4 linked regions of the Alligator mississippiensis genome follow. The protein of the gene in region 2 purifies or fractionates together with the protein of the main gene of each other region. This does not show direct contact. Links are inferred from orthologs where the notes say so. Each region holds a gene or a part of one and is shown on either strand. Other genes may lie near its edges. The genes, in order: UNC119, LCK, KHDRBS1 and SH2D2A.

Region 1 (7,718 bases), on a different chromosome or scaffold from region 2:
GGGTGCTTTCTGCTGCCGTGCTCGGGGGCGCTTCGTGCCTCTGTGCCAAGGCTGGAGCGGGTCTCGCTGCAGCCCTGGTGAGAGCAGGCGCTGGGGGGAGAGGGCAGGGACTCCTGACCGACCGCCGCTCTCCTGGCCACCCCCAGCCTGGGGGATCCTCGCAGCCAGGCCGCGCGGAGCCGCGCACGCGGGGGCATCTCCAGGAGCGGGGCTGGCACTGTTGGCCAGCAGGGCTCGCAGCGTGGGGGTGAGGCCGGGGAGCCCGTGGCTGGGTCCAGTGGCCTCACTCGCGCTCTCCCTTCCCCGCAGTGAGGACCAGCGTCGCCGCCCGCTATGAGACCGCTTACCGGAGCGCCACGGGCCAGGAGGAGGCAGCCTTGGCCCTGGGCACAGTGCAAGGTGTGGGGACGGGGCAGCCCAGGGCATGGTCCTGGTGGCTGGCTGTGCCCTGGGGGCGAGTGGGGCAGCCTGGGAAGTTGCTGTATGCGGAGGGATGCAGCTCTTACCCCAGGGCCCTGGGGGATGCACGCTACCCTTCCCTCTCCCCCACCTGCAGGGGCCGGGCAGGGCTGGGCGGCCCCAGGGAGGGGAGAAGCTGGGACCCTGGGGTGGGGGCAGTGCGGAGGTCTCTGTCTGTAAGAGCTGGTGGTGGGGATGCCCTGCCTTGGGTTCACCAGCACCGGGGTGACCGATGTCCTCGTCTTCTCCAGAGGCCGATGCGGCACTGCTGCCACTGCAGGGCGGCTCGCTGGGCTCACTGACCATCTACATCATCCCAGAGGCCTCGTCTCTCCTGCCACAGGTACAGCCTCTCCTGCTGCTGGGAGTGCCATCCAGCTGCCCATCTTGCTCGGGACCGACCCTCTGTGCCTGGCGTCCCATCACGGGCTGCCCTCCCCGGAGCAGCTCGTGGGTGCCCCTGGCGTGACTGCAGTGGGTGGGAGCTTGTCCAGCGAGATCCCCTTGCTTCTGACCCTGCCCAAGGGTGGCTGCGGCGTGGGAAGCAGCCGAGCCTGGGTTAGGTGCAGCTGCAAGACCTCCCCGACTGCTGCAGGCAGGGACGCTGTTCGTCTGCCTCACGGGTTTCTCTGCCCCTTCCCTCCTGGCTGTTCACTGTCGGGACAGGCTCTGTCCCCATCCCTGTCCCAGGGACAAGCCTGAGGGGCTGGGGCAGGGGTCCCTGCAGCTCTCCCAGCCCCGTCATCCTGGCGTCCCCATGGGCTGGGCCTTGCCCTGGAATGGGTGGAGTGGGCACGTTCTGCCACGTCTGGCTCTCGCTGCCCTGCCCGGTCTTGTCTGCAGGGGGTCAGCGTGTACATCGGGAAGCACCGCAGCGCCGTGGTGAGGGGCCCACCAGCCGCGGGGGATGTCCTGACTGCGGTGAATGCCCGGGTGCGGCATATCGCACAGACCATGTCCTTCACCCCCGACTCCATCGCTGCTGCTCTGTCGGACCGTGTGCCCCTGGGCAACCTCGGCTTAGACACCCGGCGCCCCTTCAAGTCCAGCCTGGGTAGGGGCTGTGCCTGCCTGCCTGGCCGGGTGGGATGATGCCTTCCCATGCAGTCAGGGCACTGCTCACCCATGGGAATCCTGTGCCAAGCTTGCCCGGCTATTCCCTCCCCCACGGGGGCTGTGGTACTGACGGTACTGTCGTCTTTGCCTGTGGCACAGGGCAGTTGTTGAGGCCCAAATGTTACCCCTCTTGGTACTGGGTGAGCTGCAGCTCAGGGTTTGCACAGGGTGGCACTTTGGGGTGTGCTGAGGCTGGGTAGGTGGCACAGGGGCCCTGGGCCAGCGGTCACTGTGTGACATGAGCTGCATGGCATTGCTGTGCCCCGAATGCCTGGGACGTGCCTTGCCCGTCCCCATCGCAGGGGCCACAGTAGCAACCTCCGTGCTGTGCCCCGCCCAGGGTATGAAATCACCTTCAGCCTGCTGAACCCCGACCCCAAGTCCCACGACGTGCGCTGGGACATCGAGGCTGCCGTCCGTGGCTATGTCCAGCCCTTCCTGGACAAGCTGAGCTTTGTAGCCAACTTCACTGTGGACTCGCAGGTGAGGGCTGGGTGAGAGGGGTGGGCGCCTGGGCAGTGGGGAGTGTCCGGAGTCACTCCTCTGTGCTCCTGTCCTGCAGATCCTGTACTACGCGATGCTGGGGGTCACGCCCCGCTTTGACAGGAACTCCTCCAGCTTCCTTCTGAGTGCGCACAGCCTCCCGCACGTCATCAACCCCGTGGAGGCCAGGCTGGGTAAGTGCCACGCAGCCTCCCTGCTTCACTTCTGCACCCAGCCCAGTTCTACCAGACACAGGCTGTGAAGCTGTGGCCGCTGGTCCTTTGGTGGGCAGGTCCCCGGGGGCATGAGGATGAGACCAGCACAGTCCGCTCAGCTTGGGGCCCATGCGAATCTGTGCTCAGGGTGCCGGCATGGATGAGAGGTGCGTGTGAGCGGGTCAGGCCTGGCCTGGCCTCTCTGACTGCCCCAGCAGAGGCAGAGCCCCTGTGAGTGGCTGGCCCGGTCCCTGTTGGCACCTGTCCCCAGTAGCACTGAGGCTCTCGCTGTCCCTCTCCAGGCTCCAGTGCTGCCTCGCTCTTCCCGGTGCTGAATTTCCTGCTGTACGTGCCAGAGCGAGCCCATTCCCCGCTCTACATCCAGGACCGGGATGGGGCCTTGGTGAGGACCAACGCCTTCCACAGCCCCCGCTGGGGCGGGATCATGGTAAGGACCAGAGCTTTGGACTCTAGTTGGAGCAGAGCCTGTCCCGTACCAGCGCGAGGGCTGTGGCTCCTGGCTGAACCATGGGGCCTGCCCAGGGGCAGCATCTCCCTGGCTTGCTGCACGTGTTGTTGGGGCTTTGGGGCGATGAGCCTGGCTGTGGGTTGCATGTGGGGCCGTCCACGCCACAGCGCAGGAGAACTGGGAACATCCCAGCAGCTTCACCTGCCTGGGCATAGCAATACATAGGTGCAGCTTCCTGCACCTGCGGGTTCGTTCTGCTCGCTGATGGATCCTTGCCTCTTCCTCGGGCACACAGTCTGAGATGAGACGGGGCTAAAGAGTCCCTGGCCATCTCCCAGGCAAGACTGTGGTGCTGGCTGCAGAGGGCTCTGCCGGCCCTAGGTTGGGAGGGTGCCCGTGCTGAGCTGTCCCGTGTGCTGTCTTGGCAGGTGTACAATGTCAAGCACCCGGCTGCAGACGAGGCCCCGCTCCCACTGCGGGTCGATGTGGACATGGTGCGAGTGATGGAGGTCTTCCTGGCCCAGCTGCGGTGAGGACACTTCCCAGCCCGTCCTCCCGGGGCTGGGCACACAGATCAGGCCTTCCGGGAGCACGCGCCGGGCAGCGCAAGGCTGACATGCCCCACTGGTGCTGAGGGGAGGAGGCTCCGGGCCCTTTCTGGCCCCAGCAGGTCACAGATGAGCCATTCCCTGCAACCTGGTGGTTCACCAGGGCTCAGTCCTGCCCCTTCTTCCAGCACGTCCAGATGCAGGAGAGGCAGAGAAGAGCTGGTATCATGCTTGTGCCCTGTCTCTGTGACTACGGCCAAGGGCTGAGGCCTCCCCTGATCTGCCCCCTCTGCTTCCAGGCTGCTCTTCGGGATTTCCCGGGCACCGCTCCCAGGGGAGTTCCTGCTGGAAAACCCTGGGAACGCAGGGCTGGCGGCCTGGGAGCTGGACCGCCTGCTGTGGGCCCGGACGGTGGAGAACGTGGCCACCGTGTCCACCACCCTGACCTCCCTGGCTGAGCTGCTGGACAAGATTGGGAACATTGTCATTAAGGACGACGTTGCCTCTGAGGTGGGCGTCATGACGGAGCAGGGCCCTGGGGAAGCCTGGTGCTGCCATGGGTGCCTTCCGCACACGTGCCCGGGGGAGGTTGTGCTGGAGGGGCTGGCAATAGCTGCTCTGAACCAGAGGGCTGGAGCAGGCACAGGTGTTGGGTCCAGCTGGAGTGACAGACGCCCCTGTCCTGCGGCTGCGTGCCTCTGTAGCATCCTATTCCCCCTGCCCCCTCGCCCTGAATCCCTAGGTGGTTTCAGTGGGGACGGGAGACCCCCTGCTCAGCCCCCAGTCCCTGCTGGCATCGGTTTTAAAAGCAAGCATGTTCCTGGCAGAGGTGCTCGCTGTGCCTGCCCCGTACCCCTGGGCTCGTGGGGGCTGGGAGCCGTGGGGGTGCCAGCTCGCTCTGGGCCGGGGCCCCGGGGAGCTGGGAGAGGGCCGAGGCACGGTGGGGACCGGGGCACTGAGGGTGTGCTCCCACGCAGGTGTACCGTGCCGTGGCCTCCGTCCAGCAGGCGCTGGAGGAGCTGGCCGCGGGGCGCCTGGGCGCTGCCTTCCAGGCCAGCAAGGAGGCGGTCACCTCCTCGGAGCGGGCCTTCTTCGACCCCTCGCTGCTGCATCTGCTGTACTTCCCCGACGACCAGAAGTTCGCCATCTACATCCCGCTCTTCCTGCCCATGGCCGTGCCGCTCCTGCTCTCCTTGGCCAAGATCCTGCGGGAGGCCAGGCGGGGCAAGAAGGAGCCCACCAAGACGGACTGAGGCGCAACAGGGGGGCCGGGGGCGGGTGCTGGCGGCGGGGCTCGCGGGCGGGCCCTGCGCCTCCCACCAATACAAGTTGAAGCCGGACGGGGCCGTGCGTGTCCTTGCTGCGGGCGGGCGGGCGCGGAGGCTCCTCCCGGGCGGGCGGAGCCGGGCCGCGAGGGAGCGGCGGCGGCGGCCGGAGCCGGGGCGCGGGGGATTTGCGGGCAAAGGCGCTTAGTGCGCGCGGGGGATGAGCGAGCCCGCCCTCCGCGCCGACACGGGCTGCGGCAGGGAGCGGGGCGGCGGGGCCGGGGCCATGAAGGTGAAGCGGAGCAGCGGGGCCGGGGCGGCGGCGCCCGCCTGCACCGAGGACGAGCTGCTGCGCAAGGCGCTCATCGGCCCCGAGGACGTGCTGGGGCTGCAGAAGGTCACCACGGGTGAGCGCGGCATGCTCCGCGGTGCCCGCCGCCCCAGAGGCGGGCCGGGGCGCGGGGAGGCGCCTTCCTGCGGGCGCGCGGCTTTGTTCCGCTGCGGGGCAGGGAGCCGCCCGGCCGAGCCGCTCCCGTGGGGCCGCCGAGCAGGCCTCGTGCCCGGGGCCCGGCCTCCGCCCGGGACCGCGGGAGCCGCCCGTCGGCAGGCCCCGGGGGCAGGGGCGGCGGGCGCGGCGCCCAGGCTCCTGCGCCGGGGGTTTGCCCCGTGCCCCGGCGGCAGGACGCGCTGGCGAGGGGCGCGTGGCCGCCCCCAGGGTGCAGGGTCTCGCGTGGGCTGTGACCCGGCGGTGGCAACAGGCACTGAACTAGGCCTTTTGGGCCCCCCCCCCGGCACGGTGCTTCTGGTCGGGGGACGTCTGCGCGGGCCCTGCTGCTCTGCTCCGGGCCTCGTCTAGCATCCTCGCAGCTGCGCTGGGAGAGCTGGGCCGTGGGCCTCGGCTCGGCAAACGCTCGGAGCCGGGCGTGCTCCCTGGACAGGCCCGGGGATGTGGAGGAGGAGCACTGCTGCAGAGGACAGCTCGCAGCCCTGCCCGGTCCTGCAGAAGGCGCCGTAGCCGGTGGGGTGCCCGCACCGGCTTTGCAGCGAGACCCACGTGGCCTCCGATAGCGTGGGATCGCAGCTGAGTGCCCCCGGGCCTGCCCGTCCTCTGGGCCGTGGTGCTTCGAGCAGCGAGGCTCGGTCCAGGCCTGCTCAGGAGCAGTTGGTGCTGGTCGAGGCGCCCGGCTGGCATAGCGAACCGCAGGCAGCACGCTCCGTGCCTCGTTAGCCCGTGTTTGCATAGTCCGGTGGCAGCCAGCCTTGCACCACAGCTGCTGGGGACAGCGCGCGGGTGCTGCTTGGTTGGTTGCATGCTTGGTGCTTGCGGGGAAAGCACTCCATAGCACCTGCAAAGAGCCACCGTCGGGCACGCATCGGTCTGAACGTTCGCTCTGCCTGGGGCTGCCCCAGCTGCTCTGTCTCTGGCGTAGTGGAGGTGGAGAGCCTTGCAGGATGGGCAGTGCCCGGGGCACAGGCTGCCCCAGGCTGGATTGAGCCGGGCTCTTCTCATCCTGTCCAGCACCAAGAGAAGCCCACGGCAGGCCCCGCGGGGCAAGGTACTTTGCCTTGCACAGGGGCCTGCTCAGCATTAGCTGTTGGCTTAAACCCTGCAGCCGGGCTGAGGAAGGTGGCACCCAGGTCAGACCATTGGTGGTAGCTGCGCCACTTGCCCCGGCTCGCCCATGACTCCTTTCCGCTGAGGCGAGTGAAGCCTTGCCGTCCGTGAAGGACCACGCCATTACCAGAGCCTGCGGTGGGTTCACGGTGCTCCGCGGGTGTTTGCTACTCTGTGGGGCTGACTCCTCCACTAGCCAGGCCTGTCCGCGCGTTTGCCGGGCACCAGGGTGGAGAGACCTGGGTGTCAGACCAGGGTGGAGAGACCTGGTTCCCAGGGGCCTTGACTGGGTGCAAGGATTGGGGTGGGGGCTGGAGAGCTGCGGGCAGGCAGCCTCCATAAGAGAAGCAGCTGCTTGGCCACTGCTCCCCACAGCGTGCTGGGCACTGGCTGCCCTGGAGATCAGCCAAGCAGGTGGAAGAAGCTGCCTCTTCCACGGGGGTCGCTGGCACAGCCCACAAGTGCCCGGCTCCTGGGAGCTGTGAACCACGTGGCACAGGGGCACTTGCTTCCAGTGCATGGAAGCTCGTCCGGTCACAAGCGCAAGCGAGGAGGCGGGGAAGCCAGCTGGGCTCTGCTTAGCGTGCCCCTAATATGCTTATGATGGCAGTTATCCTGGCTGTCGGTGTCCTCTCAGCGTGAAGCTCTCCGTGGCTGCCTGCTCTGTGCCAGGGGGCACGTCTGGGGCAATGCCCGTGTTCTGGGGCTGCCTGGCGGGCTCAGCTTTGGCCTGGGTGCTGCAGAAGGCAGCTGCAGCCTTGTCTTGGCTGGTAGCTGGGCCCTTTCGCTTGCTGCCCAAGAGAGGAAAACCTTACCACTTGATTAACTGGGGATTACCAGGGCTGGGGGCAGATTGTGATGAGTTAGCAGCCCAGCAGGAGGGCAGAGACGTCTGTCTGTCTGCCTGCCTCCTCACAGCCCTTTCTGAGCAGGTAGCCAGCCTCTTGCTGGCTCTCCTGACTGAGGCCTGACAGGGGCAGTGCGCTGCCCACATTGCTGGCACCCAGGCATCCCCCCCGCACCTGTCCTGACCTGGGCTGTGGGCTTCCCTGGCCATGCCGGGTGTGGAGCCGATGGGTGTGTAGGGGATGGGGTCTTGCTGACTTAGAAGAAGTCTTTGCCTGACCTACTAAAGCTGATCTGCGAGGGTCCCGGGCACCTGCAACTGGGCAGCCCCCAGGTGTGGCAAGGGAAGCCCAGCCCTGCACTTGGTCATGACCAGACTAACCCCAAGGGTGGGTGAGGCCCCAGTGAGCGGCGTTGGACGGTGCCCTGTTACAAGCCCTCATCCACCCACAGTCCATGCCGTCGGGGTCGAGGCAGCGATGCTGGGCTGCCCAGGGCTGGCCCGGCCCCACGAGCCATGCTGTGGGCTGGAGCGGCAGGAAGCCCTTTGCCGTGCGCCACCCGCCTGCCCCTCGGATGCACATCCGTGCTATTTCTGGTCATCGCCCAAGAACTTCCAAGCGGATAATCTCCTAATCGCCAGCTCCTCAGATTCATCTTCACTTGTCTTTGCCGGAGACCTGGCTTATGTCTGGGGCACCA
Region 2 (7,231 bases):
TGCAGGCTGCTGGCTCTGGCATCCTGCTGCCTTGCTTGCTCCTATTGCCCAGAGGTGCCTCATCTCTCCTTGCTGAGTGTCCCTTGTTGGCGATACTGCAACAGCTTGCTTGAAACCAGACCTGGCAAGACTGGGCCAGGGCTGCCCTGATCGCCTGGGACCTGAGGCATGGATGGAGCTGGGGAAGTTGGACTCGCCTCACTTCTGTCTTCAGTCCTCAGCTCAATCCCTTGCAACTGGAGGGATGTGCGCTGCAGAGGCTGGCGGGCAGCAGGGGAGCTGAGCCCTGCCTACTGCCATCACATTTGGCCTATTGGCTGCCTCCTGTTGCCCTGCGGTGGCTTTTGCCCTCTCGCTCCTCAGTCCCTGCTCCTGGGGGGTCTCTGCTGTATGGAGCAGCATCTCCAGGATGCACAGAGCTCTGCATTTGCCATAACCCCTGAGCCTGCACAAGGTGAGCAGCCCTGCAGCCATGTGGCGTGCACAAGGCGAGCCAACTGTTCCCAGCAGCATGTGATGCTGTCATGGGAGGGGAGGGAGCATCGCTGCTGGAGCATCTGCGGCTGCAGTGACGCATGCCACGTTGCTGGAGGCTGCTTGCTGATGCTGAAAAGCATGAGCAAACTTTCCATGCAGCAAGAAGAGAAGGCGGTGCAAAGGCGGCTTGCCTTCTGTGTGTCGCATGTGCTAGTGGCCTCCTTGCCGCCCCCAGACTTGTCTGATCCCAGGCTTGCACAGACGGGGCCTCCCTCCCCTGTGCCACACACCTACGTCGAAGCCCCTACTGCTGGCCTGACTCGGCCTGGGGATTACTTCTGATCAAGCCATCTAATCCATATTCCCCCAGCCTTGCGCTGAGTGGGCCAGTCCCCTCCCCCTCCACGCTGCTTCTTGGTAATGGCGGAGGAAAAAGGCGGCGAGCACCTTGGGTTTGTCGCTTGCTTCCGCTACACGCTGCTGTTTCCATTTGGTTTTGCTGAGGCCTCAGATGAGAGGGGTGCCGGCTCTATGGGGAGCCGGTGAACAGCCCCACCGAAGCAGGTGCCTTTGTTTGGCCACATGCATGGCAGCTTCTGTGTTTCATGTTCTCTCCGGCTTGTGTGATGACTTACCCGCAGCTGGGAGACTTCGGGTTTTTTTTCCTCAGCCCTGCAGGGGCTTGCAGTCCCCACCCTGACCCCTTGTTTGGGAAGCTGATTTTTCCAGGGAACGTTTGTTCCTTTGGCTGAGAGTGATGAACCCTGACTTGACACTTTGCCGCGGATCTTGGAGCACGGTGCCAGATCTGTGGAAGCTCACAGCCTCTGCTGAGGGCCATCGACCAAAGAGGGAGGCTGCTGCTGATGGAGGCATGGGTTGAAAGTAGTACAGCCTGCTCCAAGACACCTGCAACTTGGGGACAGAGCTGGGAGGAGAATCCAGGGGCCCTGTGTCCTGGCCCCCTGCTCGGCTCAGACCCTTAGTGAAGGAGCTGAACCCTGAAACCCTGGCTGCAAATTTTCAGCCCTAAGTCCCGCAGCTTCTGTTAGAACAAATTGCTGCTGGTGCAGCGAAGAAGCCTGCTAAGGATCTTCTGGCTCCAAGCCTTCAAAGAAAATACAGGAAGATTGTCAGAGCTTCACAACACTGAGATCCCATTGACCTTTTTCAAACAAAAAAGCGTTCTTATTTTGCCTTGAAAAATGGACTGAGTCCCTGTCCCTCCCCGCCCCGATGCTTTATCATAAAAGCAGTCAATATTTTTGCCATTTTTCAGTGTTTTTGATGATAAAAGAGGATGCTAGATTTTTTTTTTAATGATCTGTGCTGGCAGATGGGAAGTGGGTGCTGATGGTTTTGTCGCTGCTTTCCAGTTGCAGAGAGGCTGAAAGCCTGACATATCCTTCGCAAAGCGAACCTGTCTTTTTTTGTACAGTTGCCATAACAGCAATAAAAATGATTGATTGATGCTTTGATGGTATTTATTTATTTTTTGGTCCTGAAATATCCTAAAGCGGGTTTGCAAACTTTTACGCCATGCAAGAGGCTTGTTTTGCCTACCACTGAAACACAGCCTGCTTTGGGGTGGGTCAGAGCAGCATGTTAACGAAGCAGAGCAACATTAGGACAGGAAGTGAAGCTGAAACCACATCCAGTCAAACTGGGAGAGGAATTCAGGTCTGCAGGTACATGAGCAGGAGTCTGGACAGGATGCCAAGTTGCTAGGTCAGCTGGGTGGAAGTGCTGAATTGAGGGTGTTTTAATCATTGCCTCCTGCTCAAACTGCCCTTTCCGCTAGCCCCCTGGAGAAGTCTCTCCGAAGACAGCTAGCCAGAGCCCAAGCTAGAGCAACATCCATACGCGCGTTGCTGCCTGTGGGACAATTGCTGGCATAAAGATCGCAGCTGGGCTATGGGGAAGATGGAGGCGCTTCACTCCTACGGTTGCCCTTGTTGTTCAAAATGCCCCTGACATGTGCCCGGGCATATCGCCCTGTATGGAGGTCGTGGCCCCCCCGTCGAGCCTCTCTCCCCTGTTGCTCTGTGTCATATTCTCTTGACTTCCTGCCTTCCTTCTTGCAGAGCTGGCTGTTGGTACCTGTGGCTTTGCATTTGATCTCACAAGCCAAGACAATAGCTTTGTGGTTCTCGTGCTGTCAGCACTGGCAGAGCGTAGGGCTTCGGAAAGGTAACATGGAGTGCCTCTGAAGACGATGTCTTCGCTGCTCAGCCCCTCTCTGGAGAGGAAAGAAGAAAGCCAAGCCCTTGCTCTCTGTCAGAGAAGGCTGGCTCAGTTCCCCTGTGGCTCATTACCTGCCTCTCTCACGGCCTGGCATATGTTTGCTCTCTGGGTGGCGATTCTGGAGATGCGTGTCCTGGTGCCTCTGCCACCGACTGGCTGTGTGACCCTGCCCATGTTCCTTCCTTTTTCTGTGCCCCTGTTTCCACTCCCACCTTTTATTTTTCCCCTTCTTTTTAGTCTGCAAGCATTGCAGGGCAGTGGGTTTTCTCTCGCACCATGTGTGCAAAGTTTGGGGCTTTGTGCAAGTGGTGAAAGATGAGGTATGATGGAGGACTGCTGGGGAAGAGAAATTCTGTTTCATTTCTCAACAGAAGGCAGGCTAGATTTACATCTTATAGACTAAGTTGGAGATAAGCTTTTGGTAAGCACAGGGCTCTCTCACTTATTGACACTGGGCTTTCAGGACATGTTCACACCTCTGAACCCTTCACCCTCCTTGGCCTTGTCTACCAAAGTCCAAGCAGAACTGCTGAGTTAGCAGCCAAGCTGCAGCTGCTTGTGGTCTGCTCTTGGTGGTGTGTTCAGGCCCTGGTACTTAGCACATCACCCAGTCACCGTGCAGGACGTGAGTCAGGGGTGCATTTTGCTCTGTCTGCTGGTAACGGTTATCACTTGTGCGGTACAGCACAGAGTAGGGGGAGATCATGACATGGAAAATGATTCGGCTGTCCTGCTACAGCTCCAGGGGCACAAGTTCAAGTCTTATTCTGGACGCATGCCAAAGGCTGCCCCTTGTCAACCAAGGTGGGTATGGGCACTGGACCATTCAGGCTGGAGAATCATTAGGATTGTGTGTTTTGGGTAGGGGGACAGACTGGCTTTGATCTTGTTGAGAGTATTGGCATCATTATGCTGGACATTGTGCTGGGACCTTGGATTCGTGGCAAAGATAAAGAGACCCCTTTAACAGGAGAGCAAGGCCAGCGCCGTGGTGAGGGAGCTATCCAGGGACTCGGGGTCAATTCCCTGCTCTGCCACGTGGGGCTTGTGTGACCTTGGTCATGTTGCTTAGCCCCCCACCTATGCCTCAGTTTCCCGAGGGGAAATGGCACCTTCTTACCTTGCAGGGCTGCTTATCCTCAGTGATGCCGGGGACTGGGGCCATGTCAGGGCCATGGAGAGAGTTCCAGTTTTGTGTGCATCAGGGCATAGTCACCCAAACTTGGATCTTTTAAACTTTTGCATTGCCCTCCTGATATGCGCAGCATATCACTTGGCGCCTAATTAGGATGTAGGCCAGAATTCACCCCCACACTCCTACCTTCCCCCACATGTGCACTCTTAACATCCTCTCTTTACAAGACCAGCCGAAAGCATCTGCAGTACGCCGGGTGCTGCATGTCTCTCACTGGACTTCCCTGCGGGGTGGTGGGTGGCAGCAGGAGTCACAGCCAACACCTGTGTCGGCAGTGGGGAGATGATACCCAGGCAGTGACGGTGCCCCTCTGTACCGGCAGCTTCCATCTTTAGAATGACGGGCCTGCGGATGGCAGGAAACCTCCCTCGCTAGCATGCTGTGGTCGGGCGAGTGCTGAGAACAAACTTCTAGAGCTTGCTCATGAGATTGCAGAAGGCAGGAAATCAGGGAAGGCAGAGTGCGAGAGCGAGCGAGACCGTGCTGCTGCCATTCCCTGATGTGAGGACAAGCTGGGCTGCTGTCCGGGAGGTTGTATCCATGGTCTACACCCCGAGGATGGAGACTAGCATGTGACTGGGAAGGTGCTTTCACTCACTGGCCATGGAGATCTAAAAGCAGCTCAGCTCCATCTCACAGCAAGCAGGTAAGGGAAGGGCTGGGGCCGTGTTGGGTGAAAAGAGCTGTGCCTTCGGGCTGGGATCTGGGGATTGCTGTCATGAGCGGGCACGGAGTGGCACTGGGGTCTGTGCCAGCTCTTCCCTGGCTGGGAAGCGATGGTTCCTCTGGGGAAGAACGACATCTTTGGGGAAGGACTTGCTTTTTGGTGGGGGTGAAGTGAGACTATAAAATGGGAAATGAGTCCATCACTATGGTATCAGGCCAGTACACAGAGGAGTCTGGCTGCTTAGGCTGGTCGCGGTTGGGGTACGGGGTCCTGTTTGAAAGACCTTTGGACTGAAAGACCCATGTTTGCCGTTGAGCTGTTTGAGTTCTTGAGTTGCTGCCTCTAACACAAGCCCTCATCTCCCTGCCAGCCCTCCCCAAATCCTACTAAAACTGCTTTCTAAGGGGATCCCCAGAGGGACTGTCCCCAGCTGGAGTGAGGGTGAGGAGTCTAGTGAGTCACTGCTTCCAAAGTCCCAACTTCCAGGGCAAAGCGAGGAGGAAAGCTGGGAGTTGTGCCCTGAAACGTCAAGCGCTCTGTCTAATCTGCCTTGGATCTCCCCGTTCCTGAGCTGCCAGCCTTGAAGCTGGGAGCAGGCTGGAGGGTCTGGTTGGTATGGGGCTGTTTTGTCTTGGAAGTGAGGAGCAGGGCAAATCCGTGTCTGCAGTGAAAGGTCACTGAATTACCCCTGGCTGGTATTGTGGTCTATAGCTTCTTAAATGCAGACTCAGTGCAGAACTGCCTGCTTGTCTGAGTTCAAACCCAAATGCAGCTGCAAACCCAGGCTGTGTCCAGTTCTCCAAGCTGCCCCCTTTGAAGTTGCCTCTCTGCTGACCCCAAGCCACAAGAAATAAGAGAAGGGACCAAGGGGCAAAATTCAAGCTGTGTGGATCCAAGATTTCGAGTCGGGACCATAGACGGGGTAGCTTGGCAGCTGTGAGCCTGAGGCTGCTCAGACTGTTATCCGGTCCCCCTGGTCTTGCAAAATATTCTGGGAACTGGATCTTTTGGGGCTGACCTCACTGGTCATATGAGAGACACGGGGGTCATTCCTGTGGGCAAATCGGTACTGTCCGAGGCTGAGGGTTGTCTTTTGTGGTGAGCAGTGACTACACTGACTGCCGCGTTTGCTTTTTAAATGTGGGCGCTGTTGTCCTTGGTCAAAGCAAGGCTACTGCAGCATGCTTCGATCGGGGGTGTGGGTCAGATGAGAGAGGACCACAACATTACTGGACATCCCTGGCATATGTTCAAGGGAAAATAGTTTCTCTCGCCTTGCCATGCTCCACCTCCAGCACATTCCTCCTGAACCAGGGGGCCCAGCCCGATCCAAGGAGAGAGGTGTTCCCGCTCCCCACCAAGTCTCACCCGGGCTTGGCATGAAGACGCATAGAAGTGCAAACACGCACACGGATTCGAAGACAGATGCCATCATTCAGATAAACACATAGCCCTGTGACTGTCAACCAGGAGATCCTTTTTGGGTGTTTTGCAATATTAGCGCTGTTAAGTGTGCAAGCACCTACCCACGGGTCAAAGGCGAACCCAGCCATTCCCGATAGGAATCCACAGTGTCAAACCCATCCTGCCCTGCTGCAGGCTTTCCAAGCTCTTTGCAGCAGAGAAATGGCTGCCTTATTTTTCTGCAGTCAAAAACACGAGTGCAAGTTAAGAGCTGGCATTTTCTGAAGGGGGCCTCAAGTCGAACAGGCTGGAGAACCAACGATGCAGTTGCACAAATGCGCCCGGAGGCAAGCAGAGATGCACACACACCCAGAAGAAACAAGGGCAAACACGGACAGATGAGCACACACAGTCGCCCAGACAACTGTGCAGAGCTGCAAACCCACGGGGACCCGCACGTACATGGGACCGAAGCTAGGCAAACACACAGACGCAGGCATGCACGCCCCCCCACAAACTGACACCAAACTTCAGTTATGCAGGCAAAGCCAGTCACCAGAGAGAAACAAAACAGACTTCAAAGTAGCCCCAGGTGCTGATCAGGTGATACAGCTCCTCTGTGGAAATTATTTTGTGGCTTAAGCAAGAAAGACAAAAAGAGTCGTGTCCCCGTCCCCCCCCCTCCGCCCCGACTCCTGATTCTCATAGGAAGGGGGGCACCCCAAGCGTGGCATCATCTGCATTTCGCTCACAGTCATGTTTCAAATGCTTGATTGTATCTCTAGGGGATGCTGTTTGAGGGAGTTGCTTTTCTTCCACAAGGGTGGATATTTCTTCGATTTTTCCACCCCTCTCTTGCTAAATGGGAGATACAGAAGTTGCATCTGCCTGGCTCTCCGGTAGTCCGTGGGGTGCCTTTTACAAGATGAGGATCTAGCATCTCCTGCATTTCTCCAGAGCAGCGGTTCTCCACCTTTTCTGTACCAGGACCCACTTGTAAACATCGATGGCCAGTCCTGACCCAGTGCCCCTCGCTCCCAACCTGCTGCCCCACTCCAGGCCCCCAGTGTGTGGGGTAGAGGGTGGGTATGGGGGGCCCCAAGCAGCCCCTTGCAGGCTGGAGCTCTGTCAGCCTGCAAGGGAAAAGCCGTGGTTTCTTCTCCTATAAAGGAGAATCCATTTTTAAAGTTTGTTCATGACCCTTTCACACATTCTTGCAACCCACTTTTGGGTTGCAACCCACT
Region 3 (7,437 bases), about 180 kb from region 2:
GGCAGGCTATTTCTGCAGAAGTACACAAGGATGCCTTCTTGCCATGGGGACTGTCAGCTGCACAGAGACATATGTTTCTACAGTCTCCAGGGCTTAGTGATGGGCAACAGCCACATCTGCAATGGAGCCTAGGCTGCTCCCATTCATTACACCTGACCCAAACCCAAGATTTGTCTTAAAGAACACATGCTGAATTTGCATCATTAGTGCTCATGTGCTCACTACCATCTATGAGAGTAAAGCATGGACACGGTATTGATGTTTTACAGGAGAGTTAAGCTGTGTTTTTGTTTTTTTGGGGGGGGTGTACCTTAAGTCCTTTCCTTCCTGGTTCTCCAAGTTTTACATTTAGCCACTACTACCCACGTTCTGGAAGGGCAAGAGGCAGTACCAGGCAAACTTACCTCTACATTAACAAAGGTTTTGGGCCATCCCTTTCACTATGAACTTTTCATCACTCCCATGCACTTCATTCCAACTGACCTACTCCCCGTCTGGTCCTTGACAGTAGTTATTCCATCCAATTATGGGGTAACTACTGCCACAGAGCTGGAGGTGGCAGATAGGGAAAGCTGGCTTGAGACATCCTGTTTACTGCTCCTAAACCATGTTCCCTTTATTTCTCCTAATGTCAAAACCAGTCTCCTTCACACAGAACAACAGCCATCAGCATGGGACCCACCTACAGGCTGAGGAACTGGGAAGAGGATACAGAACAGTGCAGGGACTAGGACAGTATTAGTGGGGACTTTTTTAAGGGCATCAACAGAGACGTTACTCCTTAACACCTGCCCCTGCAAAGCTGTGACCCCTCCTCCTTTCCACCCCCCTCTTCAGTTAACTTTTTATTGCCTTCTATATTCCTCATTGTTTTAACGCTTTGCATTGTTTCCAGTTGCTCAGACATCCCTAAACTGCTATGACACTGCTCTAGTGATCCCTTCGTCATACTCACTGCTCTGATAACCCATAATCCTGGATCATAAAGTCAGAAAAAGGGCTCAAACACACACAGCTCTCATGATGAAGCTGTGCATCAGGATCCCCATGTTCAAGTGACCTAGAAAACAGCTCTCTCTTGTCCATTGATCAGGAAACCAACTACATTATAGCCCTTTCATCTGTCCTTTAAATCAATGCTGATTTCCTTGATCGTATTTTTAAAGTAAAGCTGGAGTTTGCACGTGCATTTTAGAGTACTGCAGAATATTGCTCTTGAGCCAACAGTTCTCATTTCAAGACAAAACTTCCAAGGGGAACTCCTGGGAAATGCAAGCAGAGGCAGGAACATGCGCAACATGCATTGTCTGAAAACCGCCAGCTGTAAGGCTCCAATTTAGAGTGCACAGATACAGCTCAAGTTCAGTAACCACAGCTATTTTAAGAGTCTGCTTGAAAAACCCTTTTGCCTCAGAAACCTGCTTTGGCCGCATTTACATTTTTCAGTCTCTTTAGCCCCAACCTGAAATTCCAAATTAAGGTTAACGACTTTTTCAACACCGATGTTATACAGCACCCTTTGATGAAGCAGGATATGCCGAGTGACCAAAAATCAGTGGGGGCAGGGGAGAAGGAGGCCACAAGAAGAATTATAAATTCATTTTGTAAAATTCATTTTTTAACGGCTGCATCAAGAATCCTTTGCTCATCTGACCTCGAAATTTGACTAACGCCATCCTAAACGCCACACGAGACAACACATTACAAGGCAATCCAAATAAGCAAACTGATTTTGCAGCACAGGAAAAATAAAAAAGGATTCTTAAATTATAAGCGATGATCAACTGCAGAGGCAAGCGCTCCGATATAATTCACAAGCCAGGTTGTTCGGACTAAGGAAACGTCCGATACAAAACCTCGGCGCGGCGCTCGGTACCCGGATCTTTGCCGAGCGGGCCAAGGACACCGACCTGCCTGGAAGAATAGGAGCTTCCTAACATCTCCTTCGCCGCACGGAGCAAGCAGAGCGCGGCTGCACATCAGGCGGCTGAAGACGGCGGGGAGCAAAAGCAGTTAAGTCGGGATCAAAACAAGGTTATAAAATTATTCGATACGGGAATCAGACGTACGCCGGCGATGCCGGATACGCTGCAGCAACTCCCCTGGAGTCGGCGGGCAGGCGATGTCACACACCCATCCCCGCCCCAGCGCCGGCATCATCGCCTGAAAGGACCCGGGGCGTCATCGGGCAGCTCGCAAGGAGCGCGCGCCGTTTTCATTAATAGATGTAAAGCAAAATCCTTTTCCGCCGGCTGCTTACCACCCCCCCCCAGGGGCTTGCCCTGGGGCAGCCGAGCGGGCGCGCAGCCGCAACCGCGCAGAACAAAGGCAGCCGTTCCCCGTCTCGCCGCGGGTCGGTTTTGGGAGGGGGCCGTGCCCCGAGAAACTTCTCCGCCTGCCTTTCACCCACCCACCCACTGTAGGGTTGGGGAGGGGGGTTCCTAATGCTGTTGGGTTTTCATACACGGCGGGGGGGCTGCCACCCCCTCCCCCCGCGCTGTTGCCATGGCAGCCGACCGACGGGACGGGGACGGGAGCAGGGCCGCCCCTCCCCCCCGCCGCGGCCGTACCTGCCGTGAGGAGCTGCATGGCGTGCGTGAAGGACGGGTCGAGGCTGTCCTTCTCGGCCATGAGCTCGGGCAGGTACTTGTTCTCGGGCTCCATCTTGACGGCGGCGGCGCCGGGCAGCAGCGGGGTGGGCGCGGCGGCGGGCGCCTGCGAGGCGCCGGCGGTGGCGGCGGGCGGCAGCAGCGGCGGCGGCTGCGAGCCCGGCGGGTGGGCGGCGGCGGCGCCGCGGGCCCCGCCGCGGGGCGGCCGGCGCGGGGGCTGCGCTGCCTGCGGCCGGGCGCCGGGGCCCGGGGGCCGGCCCAGGCGGGCGGCGGGGTCGTCGCGGCGCTGCATGGGCGCGGAGCGCGGCGGGCGGCGCGGGGCGGACAGCGTTGCCACACCGAGGGCCGCGGCGGCCGGGACCGGAAGTGAGGGGCCGGAAGCGCTCGCCGCTCGCTCCCGCTCCGCCGCCGTCGCCGCTCCGGACGCACTGCGCCTGCGCCGCCCTCCCGCCGCGCCTGCGCGGCGCCGGCCGCCTGCCGAGAACAAAGCGCCGGCTGAGACGCGCTGCGCAGGGCCTCCGAGTGCGCATGCGCAACGAGCGGGAGGAAACAAAAAAGAAAGGAGCGCCCCCTTCCATTGCGCCTGCGCAGAGGCGCAGCGGCCCTGCCTCGTTCCGCCGAGAACAAAGTACCGAGGGGGCCCAGTGCGCATGCGTAGAAGCCTAGCACGCGGGGAGGGGCTGCATTGCGCACGCGCAATCGCAGCCTTGGGGCGAACAAAGCGTCCGGGAGCGATCGCAACGCATGCGCGTTACAGTTCCTCCCTCTTCCCCGCCCCCCGTCCCTTGCAGGAGTTCGACGCACGTGTGCGTCTTCTGCCTGCCCAGGGCATGGCCTGGCTGCCGCTCTGCGCATGCGCGGGTCCTTCCCTGGCTTGGGCCTGGCCAGCATGGTGTGGCGGGAGAGATGGAGCCCTGAGTTGGGGCCGGGGGTAAGGGTTAGACCTTGGGATCTTTGGAGCAAAGCAGCCCAGCCCTGGCCTCATGCTCCCCTCCCTGAGCACTAGCAGGCTGGCCTTGCTTGCCTGGGAGCCCATCCGGACCCTGCCAGATAGCCTGCAGCACATTTGACACGCAAGCCTCCTATGGCTGATACTGCGACACGAAGCACCTGGGTGCACTGGTTCTAAATCCGCCCCCACCCCGTGTGTGCACTGCGCAGGAGCCCTGGGGGGCTGGGTTAGCATGGGGATCCCTTGGTGCAAATCTTGATGACACCCAGAAAGCCCCCCAAAGGGTGCTCTGCAGGACCGACCTCCACTTGGAAGGCCCCTGCGTGGTCATTAGCGGACACGTTCCTTCAACCACCGGCGAGGGCATGGCCCTCGGCTGCCAAGCCAACATCAGCAGTAATTATCCTATAAGTCGGCAGTTCCCAAGCTCTGACAGCGCACCATCATTTTAAAACAACGCAACCTTAAGTGCCACCAGCAAATTTTTGTCATATAAAGTAATGATAATACATCTGTTAATACTAGTCGCGATGCATATGGGGTGCGCCCCCTGACAGGCCGCGCTCGCATGTGTCCCCCTGAATCAGGCGGCACCAGTTGCCCATGGGTAACACGTGCCGCTGACAGGTTCTCTGCGTACCGGTGGTGGTACCCGTACCAGATTGGGAACCGCTGCTGTAAGTGACAGATTCATCTCATTGTCCCAGAGTGTATACAAATAGTATACGCATAGATCCGTTTATGTCCTAAAGCAGGGAGGCTGAGTCTTCTGCATTTTTATTTCCATCAGTCTGTGATGGCAGCATATAGAAAGCTCATTTGAGGAAGGCAAGTTTCTTGATCTCCGAATGTCTTAATTGACAACCCCCCCCCGACCCAGAGCCTGCACTTGTCTTTTGGGTTCAGACTCTGCCTGTATGCAATATGACTTCTGTTGATAGCAGGACTGACTTCATGGTAGGAGTCTTGTTGGTGTAGCTGGGACTGAACTATATTTCAACCAGGTCTCTAACGCATGGAGTAGATGAGTGGTGCCCAATCTTTTCACCCCACAGACTAGATGGGCAGTGCCATATCTGGCCGCAGGCTGGATCAGGCTGGTGGGCTCGACCCAGCCAGAACGTGGGGTTGCTGGAGCAACTCCATTTAGCCCAGGGGACTGTGCAGCCTGACCCAGATCCATCCACAGGGGGTTGGGGAGCAGCTTGGTCCCCATCTGGATGTGTGTGGGGGCGCTGAATGGAGCTGTCCCGATCAGGATGTGGTGAGGGGTGGGTGGAGAGCAACTTGGTTCTGATCCAGACACATCGGGGGTGGAAGTGGAGAGCAGCCCAGCCATGATCCGGATGCCGATGGGGTGGAGTGGCCTCTGCCTGGACGCATGGAGGGGGCAGGGAGCCGCCCAGCCAGATCCGGATAGACAAGGGGCAGGCCTGTCCCTGATCCTGCTGTGCGGCAATGGCCTGGGCAAGGCTGGATCCCACTGCATGGAGCTTCCTCGCTCCCCAGCTGCCAGTTTTTTCCACCCTGCAGAGATCCCCGTGGGCAGGACGTCACAGCTCTATGGGCTGGATTTAGCTCGCAGGCTAGGGGTTGAGCACCCCTGGAATAGAAGAAGCTGGGGAAAGAGCCCATGAAGGAGAAACTTTGATGCCAGCAGGTGACAGATCCCAGATCTCTGTACTTCTCTCACTTGGCTACAATCAGCAATGTGCGCATGGATCTTTACTGAATGTGCTGTTTGGACAAACCCTTCACTCAGTAGTTAATGTTTGTACAATACAAGTAAATGTACAGTCCCATCCATGCACCTAAGCTACTATTACTCACACAACCTCAATGCAGCAGGGCAGCTTCTTATAGCTAGGAGCATGGCATAGTTTTGGATGCCTAGCACTGCCTGGCTTTCTTTTGCTGCCCTTTGCTCTTTTCTGCTCTCACTCTCCTGGATTCAGTTGCTCTCTCCCTTGTCTTCAGTCTCGCATCCATGAGATTGTTTTTCTCACGCACTTCACCCAGCTCCCTATTAATTAACCCTTTCTCCCTGCCTGCCTTTCCCTGATTGCATTTCTCACCTGTCTCGTGCTGCCTAGCCACCCCAGCTGCCCAGTCACACCTGCACATATGGGGTGTACACATGGGGCACAACGCAGCAGAGGTCTGTCACAGGTGATCTTGAACTGGCATAAGGTTCCCAAAGACCTAGAACTAGCTTGCACCACACGGGCTGTTTAGGACCCACCGTGCCATCCCAGCTCCTGCTAAAGGGTCATCGTTGCCCCAGGATTTCTACCTTCTATTTCAATACCACAAGAGAGGATTAGAAACTGTCCCAGTGCATCCAGCCTCCCCTCTCCACGGTCAGCATTGCTGGTTTTCCTTTCTGCACAGCTTCTGTGCCTGCTTCTATTACATCTTCTGAAACCTCTGGGGCTCAGACAGCAGAAGCCTGAGCCTTGCTGCCTGCACTCAGTTGTCTTCATTTCTCTGAGTCGCTCTCCATCTTTCTGTGCTCCTCCCTCTGGGCCAGATTCTCCACCTAGCTACATGCTAGAAAGTGGACTGAAACTGTCCCAAGTTAGGCAGTGGAGAACTTACGTGCAGAGCAATTCCTTACCTGCCCTTATTTCTTGTATTGGGGAAGGCAACACATCAAGAGCTTCCTGAGGACCTATTACTAACTCACACCCTGACTGGGATGATCACAACCTGCTCCTGCACACATCCTCCCCACTCGCTGCAGCTACGAGGTGCCTGAACTCACCTGTGAATCAGCCCCTCTTCCCTCTGTCAAATCTTGTCTTTACAAAGCACCCTGGCCAGGAGCTCTTCCCAATCCTTGAGGTGCAAACATCTCCAGGTTTGATACCGCTCCTGGTCCCCAGCATCTGAGCAAAACTGCAGAAGCAAAACAAGACCTAAGTTAGACGTTTTCTCTGGGCCTGGTCCTAGTGGAGTATTTTTCAAAGACATCCTGTCAGACCCAGTTTTTTTGGGAACTGCTCCTGGAGATCTGCAGCAGAGATACAATGAGCTCAGCTCATCTGCTGGGGCTGAATGGGGTTCTGAGGTCACGAGTGCATCTCTTCCCCAACCCACCACCTCTCATACAAATAGCCTGGTTTCCTATTAGCTTTCCCACCCTGCTTGTTTCCTTCTCCTTTTCTCTCTCCCTTCCTATTGCTTTTGTTATATTTGTCCAAGACAGTCTGGAAAAAAAAATGACTCCAACCACAAATGTGGAAGGAGTGCTGCCAAGCTGGCAAAATTATAAAATAAAGCTAGGCCTTCATTGCCATGGACTGATGCAACAAAAAGTAACTTTAGATCAGGGATGCTCGACCAGGGTGTTGCGGCACCCTGGGTTGCCCTGAAATCCTTTCAGCGGTGCCTCAGGGTGCCACACACTGTTAGCACAGTTATGGGTGCAAACATGATTCACAGGATAAATCCTGAGATTTCAAATAGGCATCCATAGTGTTAAAAACATTGTGTCCCTGTTGTGGTATTTCCGAGTTCTTTGCAACAGGAGAGCTGGAGTCAAACAAATGAGTGAAAATTAAGAACTGGCACTTTCCAAGGGGGGCCTCCAGTCTTAACGAGGGGTGCCTGGGGTCTAAAAAGGTTGAGAACCGCTGCTTTAGATTCTCATGGACGCAGTCATATCCACATATCTCATGGCTTTCACGGCCCTTTCTTCATTTTCTTGGTCCTACTGCCCCTCTGGCTGGCACTGTCCGTCTCTTCCATGAGATCGGTATTTTGTGTGCTTGAACTGCAGGAGAGGAGCAATGGGTGTCCCTGCAGGTACATCCCCAAACCTGGAGGCACGTTCCACGGACAGGCCGTGCAGCTGGCAGTGGGGCAGGGCCCAGT
Region 4 (7,727 bases), on a different chromosome or scaffold from region 2:
TATAACTATAATTATATATATATTATTTCAACTATATGACACTAAGCAGTGGGGAAGTGCAGCCACACATCAGGATAGGCTAACAGTCCAGGCAGATCTAGACAGATTAGTTAGATGGGCAGACCGGATCCAGATGCCGTTCAACACTGAGGAGTGAAAAGTGCTCCATCTAGGGAGGAAAAATCCACAACAAACTTCCAGGCTCAGTGGTGTGCCATGTCCGAAAGGGACCTGGGAGTCATAATAGCCCATAAAATGAATATGAGCCACCAGTGTAATGCTCCAGTTAGCAGAGCAAATAATACTCTGGCATGCATCAACCAATGCATCTCAAGCAAAGCTAAGGAAGTTATGCTCCCACTCTGCTTGGCATTGGTGAGGCCGCAGCTGGAGTACTGCGTCCAGTTCTGGGTGCTGCACTTCAAGGAGGAGGTGGAAAAGCTTGAGAGAGTCCAGAGAAGAGCCACTCGTATGATTAGAGGCCTGAAGAGCAAACCATGTGAGGAGAGGCTGACAGATACGGGACTGTTCAGCCTAGAAAAGACAAGACTTTGTGGGGATTTGGTGGTAGCTTACAAATGTCTCAGGGGAGAGCATCAGGGGCTAGGCAAACAACTATTCACCAAAGTGCCCAGGGGAAAACCAGGAGCAATAGTCATAAACTCCTAGAAGAAGGTTTCAGGCTGGATATAAGAAAAAGCTTCCTCATGGATGGTGTGATCAGACTCTGGAATAGACGCCCAGCGGGGGTGCTGCAAGCACCTACCCTGGAGATCTTCAAAAGGAGACTGGATGCACACCTTGCTGGGGTTATTTCACCCCAAGAGTCTTTCCTGCCCAGAGCAGGGGGGCTGGGCCTGATGATGCCACAAGGTCCCTTCAGGCCCTAAACTTCTGTGTATCTGTGGGGAAAAAAATGCCCAGCCCTGACATTAACTCTATCCTCCCTTTGCAATTGGGGAGAGGAGTCACAAGAGGTCCGGAGTGAACCCAAGTGTCCAGAGTGAACCCAGGTGTCTGGATCTCCTGTAACCAGAGCAGGACCTAGACCCCAGAAATCCTGGCTTGGTTGCCCACCCTAGCCAAGGAGAAGCCCAGGCTGGATCGCACCCTGGCTCTCCCTGCCCCTGACTTTAGGCTCACATCCATGTAGCTGATCTTACAGAAGGGCACAACTAAGCAGTTAAGTGTGCAACATCTGGGATGTGTAGAGGGAGAGGGTGGTTTTACCAACCTGGCAGGGGAGAGCTGCTTCTTCTCAGCCTTGCATAACTTGGAGACCTGGCCCTTGCACCATGGGCGGGCACCCCTGCAAAAGCCTCCAACGCCAGGATCTCAACTACACAATTCCTGGTGATGGTGGGTTGCTCTCGGGCTCTCCCTCCAGCTTGCTCCTTCTGGCTCAGGGCAAGTGAGACCAGGGGGCAGCTGGACCCCAAAGCCTCCGGACTCAGAGCTTGCATGTAGGTACCTGCCATGGATTTGGGAGCATCTGAAGCCCCAGGGAGGTAGGGACTGGCTGGAGGTAGTGCTGCACAGACTGGAACGATTGAGCTCTATTCAGTCAAACTTAATTCGGAAAGGGATTTAGCCTGGAAAAGAAAGTCTATTAATGAAACCTCCTCCCCCCAAAACAAACAGTGAATGGCACTGTAACCAAAGAGCCCCAGGCCTCCCCACCTGGTGACTTCTCCCTTCCTGTTGCCACTCCAGCCCTGGGCAAACACAGCTTGGTGAGCCTTGCACTGGGCTCAGCCTTGCTGAGCTGGGCTGAGCCCTGGGAAACCCAGGCTGGTCTGTGAGATCTGGCCCCTTCCCTGTGGCCCCAGGAAACCTGCCGAGGTTGGAAGTCCCAAGCCCTTTGCATCTCGCAGCCCTGCTCTGTGCCCACGGCCTGTCCTGTTGCAGCTTGTCTGGCTTTATTACCTGCCTCTACCTGCTAGGCACCATGTCCCTCTAGTACAGAAGACACCCAGGCCTGTGCCCCAACCTCCTGCTCCAGCACCGTACGATGGCAAGGGGGTCTACCCCCACCCAAGAGCAGAGAGTCCCTACTTCAGTGGGATCACAGCTGGCTCCAAGGAGCTGAGATGCCCCTGCCCGTTTCACCCCTGGAGGCACCAGAGCCTGGTGACACAAGTGATGTGACCAAGGGCATGCAAGGAGGCAGTGGAAGAGCTCTCATGCAGGGGTGCAGCCTCTGTGCTGCTGTGGAAGCCCCTGATCTGGGGGGTCTGGTCCTTGTGCCCTCCCCCCCCAAAGCAGCCTGATGCCAGCAAGACCCAGGCTCCTTCAGCCGCCCCTCATACCCATGCATGTGGGGGCCACCCCGAACCTGGCTGAGCCGGGCCCATCTCAGACACCTGCCCCAGATAGGGGCGGGGAGTGTTCCCCCGCTGCGGGCTGCTTTTCCGTGACGTCATGCTCTCTTGCTCACCCGTGCCTTGTGGCTTTGCTCGCCACTTCCTGCCCTTCGAGCTTCCTGCCAGGCAGGGGCACACTCAGCGCCTGGTCGGGGAGGGGGCCACAGGCTTGGCATTGCCCACCCAGCCGGCTTGGGTGCACGCATGGACTTCGCCGTCCAGCCAGGGCCTGACAGAGGTAGGAGCAGCTTGGGGGGCGGAGGGGGAGGGGGGTGACTCTGGAGGCAGCGAGGGCTGCTTGCAAGGTGCTTGGGGGTAGACTCCTCAAATCCTACAGCTTCCTGGGCCTGGAGGGGCGGGTGGAGGGCTGCTGGGTGCCCCCCCCAGCTGGCAGGACCACCCCAGCATTGCCAGGAGGGTAGGAGGAAGCCCAGGCCTGTTACAGAGCTGGCCCCAGGAGGGATCCAGCTGTTGAGGGGGGCAATACACACCCCTGCCTGGAAGGACTTGGGCTGAGACCTACCTCACTCGTTACATGTCAGCCCTGCAATGGGTCAGGCTCTGCCCCTGGGCTCAGAGACCAGATCGCGGGCATCATCAGGGATCAGACAGCAAGGTCAGGAGCTTTGTTGTGCTCCATTATTTTGGCGTTGCACAAAACAGAACGCGAAGGGTGACATGGGCAGAGCACCGGGGCACCCATGTCTCAACAGGTTTGTTTTCTAAGCATCGTTAATGATGCTTCCTATCCTGTCTCACTTCTGTAACCGTTCAACCTCCCCTCAAATACCCACCTGGGTCTCGTTGCGCCAGGATCACAGTCTTTCCGGTGCTAGGCGCTGCACGTTATCACACAGCCTTTCCCCATGTCCTGGGGGGGTTGAAGAGACATCACCCAAGCTCTCAGGCCCCATCCACGCGCTCTCACTCCCTAGCCGAGCAGCCAGGGCAGCTGAAACTTTCTCAGCACAGGCGAAGAATCTGGGGCACCAACCAGCACAGGAAGTTTATCTACGCGCCACCAAAACCTGGCCCCGGCCTGGTTGCATAAGGCGGCCTCTGCTTTGGGCCCGCTCCAGGGCGGTGCTGAGTGCGCTGCAAGCAAACCCCAGGGTGAAGATGCAACTGTTCCCCCTGGGGAAGTGTCTTTCCAGCCCTCCTGGCTTTTACGGGGAAACAGATGTCCTCAGGGGCTGGCTGTTCACTGGGGATCCCATCCCTTCCCCCAGCGGCGCATGAAACCTGTGCGGGAGCTGAAAGGCAGCTCCAGACCTTTGAGCCTTCCAGGTTGAGCATTTGGGACTGTCCCCTCCTCTCCAGGGATGAAGGACAGAGTTTGGGGAAGAGGAATGAGCTGCAGTCGCCCCTGTGCTCAAGGCTCTCCCCCCAGGCACAACAGTCCCTGGGCCTCAGTTTCCCCATCGCCAAGTGCCTGGAGGGCAGGTCAGGAAGGAGAAATGTCAAGCTCACGCGCAGGAACCAGCAGCCCTCAGGCTCAAGTATTGGGGCGAGGGGGAAGATTTCCCCCAGAGTCTACCCAGGAGCGCCCCGATTGCAAACAAAACCCATTGCTTTTACACTCACAAACCCCGCATCAGGGCCCCGGGGCAGCCTGCGACGTGGCTGCACCCCGTTCTCTGCCCTGCCAACGCCCAGCTGCATTCCCAGGCGTCTTATCAGCCTCACTGCGCTGCCCTGGACCCCTGCCAGGGCTTCTGCATCCACTCTCCGGCCCAAATCTGGGCACCATGCTCCTGTCACATGGCTGGGGAGAGCCAACCCCCTCTACACACACACATGCACCCACATACACGCTTGTGCATGCCCCTGGCACAGTCACCATTGCTGCAGCCGCCTTGTTGGCTCATGTCCAGGTCCCCGCATCCCCGGACCTCTTTGCAGGTCCCGAGCTCCTTACCAGATCTCATCTTCCGCCCCCAGCCCCTCCCTGGGGGCTTCCCCTGCTCCTACTGCTGAAGGGAGGGTCGGAGCCAGGGCAGGGTGTCGAGGCAGGGCCTCATCCTGCATCTCTCTACCCTGTGCAGGAGCCGATGGCCTGGAGCCCCCAGAGCCCCTGCTCTTCAGTACCTTCCATCCCCATGGCCTGGGCAGATCTGAGGGCTCAGCCCCAGCCCTGGAGGAACGTAGGGCGGCCTCAGCTGGGCCCCAGCAGGGACAGCTGCACCCCAGTTCCCAGAGGGAACAAGCCCCTTCCAGCCAGGTAGGTGTTGGGAGCCGCAGGCCGGGGAGGGCAGGGCTGTGCAGGGTTTGAACGGGGTCAGAGTGCAGTGTTGGCACCCTGTCTGCCAGCTATAGGTAGATAATAGCCACGCTGCAGGACCAGGGCAATTCTTTCTGCCCTTCCCTAACCCTATTGCTAACCTTAACCCTTGCCCTGCAGCTGCGGTGGGCAGTCCCCCATGCACAAAGTGGGTTGCAGCCCCCCATCCTCATGCAGGGCTCTTTGGTTCTCCCTTCTCCCCCCGCAGACCCCTTCTGCCTCAGCTGCTAGGCTACCCTGGCTGGTCCCAGGCTCCGGCGAAGCTGCGGCTGCGCTCCGGGCCAGCACCCAGGCTTGGTTTGAGCAGACGCAGGCAAGCAGGGTCCTTCCTGATGGCCAGCGCCCCGACTGGTTCCACGGCTTCCTCAGCAGGAGGTGAGGGGCGGGGGGTGCTGGGAGCTGGGGTCACCTCGGGAATAGCATTCCCCGGACCATCACGGACCTGCACCCCCACGGGGATACAGCGCTGGGGCGGGAGTAGCAGTGGGGCCCAGCGGTAGAGCAGGAGGGAAGGGGAGCCCAGACACCTGGGTTTTCTTAGCTGCCCTGGGGACCAGAGCAGAAACCATGGGAGCCAGGACGCCTGGGTTTCTCCCAGTTCTGGGGAGGGAGCGTTGTTGGGTGGGCAGAGCCAGGAAACCTGGGTTTTTTCCCTTGTTCTCAAGCTGGGCTTGACTTGAGATGCCCTCAACTCTGCTTTGGGCCAAGCACCGGGTGCCCCGGGCTCCGAGCAGCATGGGTGCTCCAGGCTCCCATGTGCTCAGACGTGCCCACGTGTCCTTCTCCCTCTCTGCGCAGGGAGTCCGAGCAGCTGCTGCAGGACAAGCCGCTGGGCTGCTACCTCATCCGCTTCAGCGAGAGCACAGTTGGCTTCGTGCTGTCCTACAGGTGAGCACCTGGGTGTCCCTGGCGCCTGCCCCCGATTGCCCCTGGCTGGGATGAGGGCCCCAGGAGGCAGATCAAGAGACGCGCCCATCACCCTGGCCCAGCCAGGCTCTCACCTGTGACCCCCAGCCCAGCCAGGCTCTCACGCGCTGCCTCGGTTTCCCCAGGGGCTGGGATCGCTGCCGGCACTACATCCTGGACCAGCTGGAGGATGGGCACTATGTGATCCTGGGGGAGGATAGTGCGCACGCCAGGCTGCAAGAGCTGCTGCAACACTATGCCTCGGCCCCCATCCATCCCTACTACGAGCTCCTCACCATGCCCTGTGCCTGGGTAAGAGGGGCCCTACCACGCTGCCCCCACCTGCCCTGACACGTCTAGACTGCCAGGGCAGCAGCAGGGGCTTGTTTCTGCCACATGTGTCATAAGCCTTGTAGCGTCACTGGAGATTCTCCAGCCCGCACAAAAGGGGCATGGGCAGCAGAGACAGAGTCAAAATCACAGGCAGGCAAAGAAATAGCCCCATTACCCTTCCCCAAGCTACAACAGGGCAGGATTGCACCCATTTTACAGGGAACATGACCCCAAGCTGGGAGAGGGGAGGGCAGAGATGAGAAAAAAACCCAGGCATCCTGACTCTTACACTCTCCACCCAATGCTGGGGGGTGTAGACCCCAGGTTTCCTGACACCCAGGCCTGTGCTTTGGACCTGTGCTCTGCACCCTCTTCGCAGCACTGCTGTTGCTCAGCTCTCCCTTCTCCTCTCCCAAACTTTGCTGCAGAGTGACAAGGAGCCGGTGGATACCGGGATCCCGGCAGGGGCTGAGGCAGCAATGCTCCCCCATGCTGCATTGAGCCCAGCATACAGCGTCGTGCACAAGCAACGCCGAGGCACCAGCCAGGGCTGCTCCTCGCCAGAGGTGAGTTGGGACCAGATGAGGGGCAAACACGGTTCTGTTTCTCCAGCCCCAGACTCACCGCATCTTTGCTTCCCCAGGCTGCCTGTCCTGGCCCCCTGCTCCCTGCCAAGGCCACTCGGGTCCCCAGCAGCCCCTGGATGGACACAACACCCCCCACCCCTCCCTCCGCTCCTGAGGCCAAGTACCAGCAGCTACTGCGCTTCCACACCTATGCCGAGCCCCGCGAGGGGCCCGTGCCCCCAGAGCGGCCCGTGCCCCCCGAGCGCCGCATCTACCATGAGCCTGATGAGCCCATCCCCTTCTACGCCGTGGGCCGGGGGTCGCCGCAGGACCTCGGCCCTGAGAACATCTACTCCGAGGTGGACGTTGTGCAGGAAGTCCAGCTCACGACCTCCACGCTGCCCCCTGGCCTCAGCCGGCCCCGGACGTTCCCCTTGCCCCGCCGGCTTCATCGCAGCGTGTCCAGCCAGGGCTCCAGGCGCCATCGGCTGCCGGCAGCTCCCAGCAGGGACAGGGGCTCCTCAAGGCCGTCCAGCCCAGTGCTGCAGGTGCGTTCCAGGGGGGCAGATGCTCTTCAAACCTGGGGCGAGTTGCTCCCCCTGAGAAGGGACCGCTGGTACCTGGGGCCTGGCCCCTCTGGAAAGGAGAAGCCCCGAGTGGGGCAGAACCCAGGCATCAGGGGTCTCCGTGCAACACCCTACCTGCTGACACCAGGGCAGGGACAGATCCCTTCTGACCCCCACCAAGAGCCAGGCAAAGGCACGGAGTAGAACCAGCCTCCATCGTGTGCCCCCTGTCCCCTCCAGGTGCTGCCACCCCCCCAGCTGGAGTTCGACGACCCCGTCTATAGCAGGAAGGTGCCCATCTGGAGCGGCACGATGCCCGCCACGGGCCAGGAAGGGCTGGAGAACGTTTACGAGCTGCTTCCAGGAGATAGACCTCTGTCCCCAGGAACGGGAGGCTGCAAGGCCTAGGTAGGAGCTGTGGACCTACCTCCATCCAACCTACCCACCCACCTCCAGGGCCTGTGCCATGGACGATCCCTTTGTCTGGGACAGGGATCAGAAGAACCAGCCCCAGCCTGTGCCCTGAGGCAGCCCTGCCCATGCTGGCTCTCCCCAGCACTGCTGCTCCCAGCTCCTGAGAGAGGCAGGAGTCAGGGTGGGGAAGGAACAGGTTTGATCAGTCGAGAGCAGGGGCAGGGGATGCCCAGTTGCCTGTGTTATGCCACAAAGCCCATAGGCATGATCTGAGCTCCTGGGCTGAATCTTTCAGGAG

The links.
Region 1: the proteins of LCK (region 2) and UNC119 purify together in Homo sapiens (affinity purification with western blotting; 3 studies listed by BioGRID and IntAct, with this or other methods). This does not show direct contact. The link is inferred for Alligator mississippiensis from reciprocal best matches to the Homo sapiens genes LCK and UNC119.
Region 3: the proteins of LCK (region 2) and KHDRBS1 purify together in Homo sapiens (affinity purification with western blotting; 5 studies listed by BioGRID and IntAct, with this or other methods). This does not show direct contact. The link is inferred for Alligator mississippiensis from reciprocal best matches to the Homo sapiens genes LCK and KHDRBS1.
Region 4: the proteins of LCK (region 2) and SH2D2A purify together in Homo sapiens (co-immunoprecipitation; 3 studies listed by IntAct, with this or other methods). This does not show direct contact. The link is inferred for Alligator mississippiensis from reciprocal best matches to the Homo sapiens genes LCK and SH2D2A.

The regions. Positions count from the first base shown.
Region 1 is NC_081837.1:1,020,665-1,028,382, reverse strand, and holds the start of UNC119 (protein unc-119 homolog A), read left to right. Parts: upstream 1-4,717; 5' UTR 4,718-4,775; coding exon 4,776-4,962; intron 4,963-7,718. Other genes in the region: PIGS (GPI transamidase component PIG-S), read left to right, coding at 310-399, 711-802, 1,303-1,513, 1,916-2,058, 2,138-2,252, 2,576-2,721, 3,171-3,271, 3,590-3,800 and 1 more. UniProt on the Homo sapiens protein: Involved in synaptic functions in photoreceptor cells, the signal transduction in immune cells as a Src family kinase activator, endosome recycling, the uptake of bacteria and endocytosis, protein trafficking in sensory neurons and as lipid-binding chaperone with specificity for a diverse subset of myristoylated proteins.
Region 2 is NC_081829.1:5,615,427-5,622,657, forward strand, and holds the start of LCK (tyrosine-protein kinase Lck), read left to right. Parts: upstream 1-4,221; 5' UTR 4,222-4,562; intron 4,563-7,231. UniProt on the Homo sapiens protein: Non-receptor tyrosine-protein kinase that plays an essential role in the selection and maturation of developing T-cells in the thymus and in the function of mature T-cells. Plays a key role in T-cell antigen receptor (TCR)-linked signal transduction pathways.
Region 3 is NC_081829.1:5,791,968-5,799,404, forward strand, and holds the start of KHDRBS1 (KH domain-containing, RNA-binding, signal transduction-associated protein 1), read right to left. Parts: upstream 3,005-7,437; 5' UTR 2,902-3,004; coding exon 2,571-2,901; intron 1-2,570. UniProt on the Homo sapiens protein: Recruited and tyrosine phosphorylated by several receptor systems, for example the T-cell, leptin and insulin receptors. Once phosphorylated, functions as an adapter protein in signal transduction cascades by binding to SH2 and SH3 domain-containing proteins.
Region 4 is NC_081838.1:16,650,717-16,658,443, forward strand, and holds SH2D2A (SH2 domain-containing protein 2A), read left to right. Parts: upstream 1-4,783; coding exon 4,784-4,792; intron 4,793-4,852; coding exon 4,853-5,019; intron 5,020-5,442; coding exon 5,443-5,532; intron 5,533-5,696; coding exon 5,697-5,862; intron 5,863-6,311; coding exon 6,312-6,449; intron 6,450-6,526; coding exon 6,527-7,219; downstream 7,220-7,727. UniProt on the Homo sapiens protein: Could be a T-cell-specific adapter protein involved in the control of T-cell activation. May play a role in the CD4-p56-LCK-dependent signal transduction pathway. Could also play an important role in normal and pathological angiogenesis.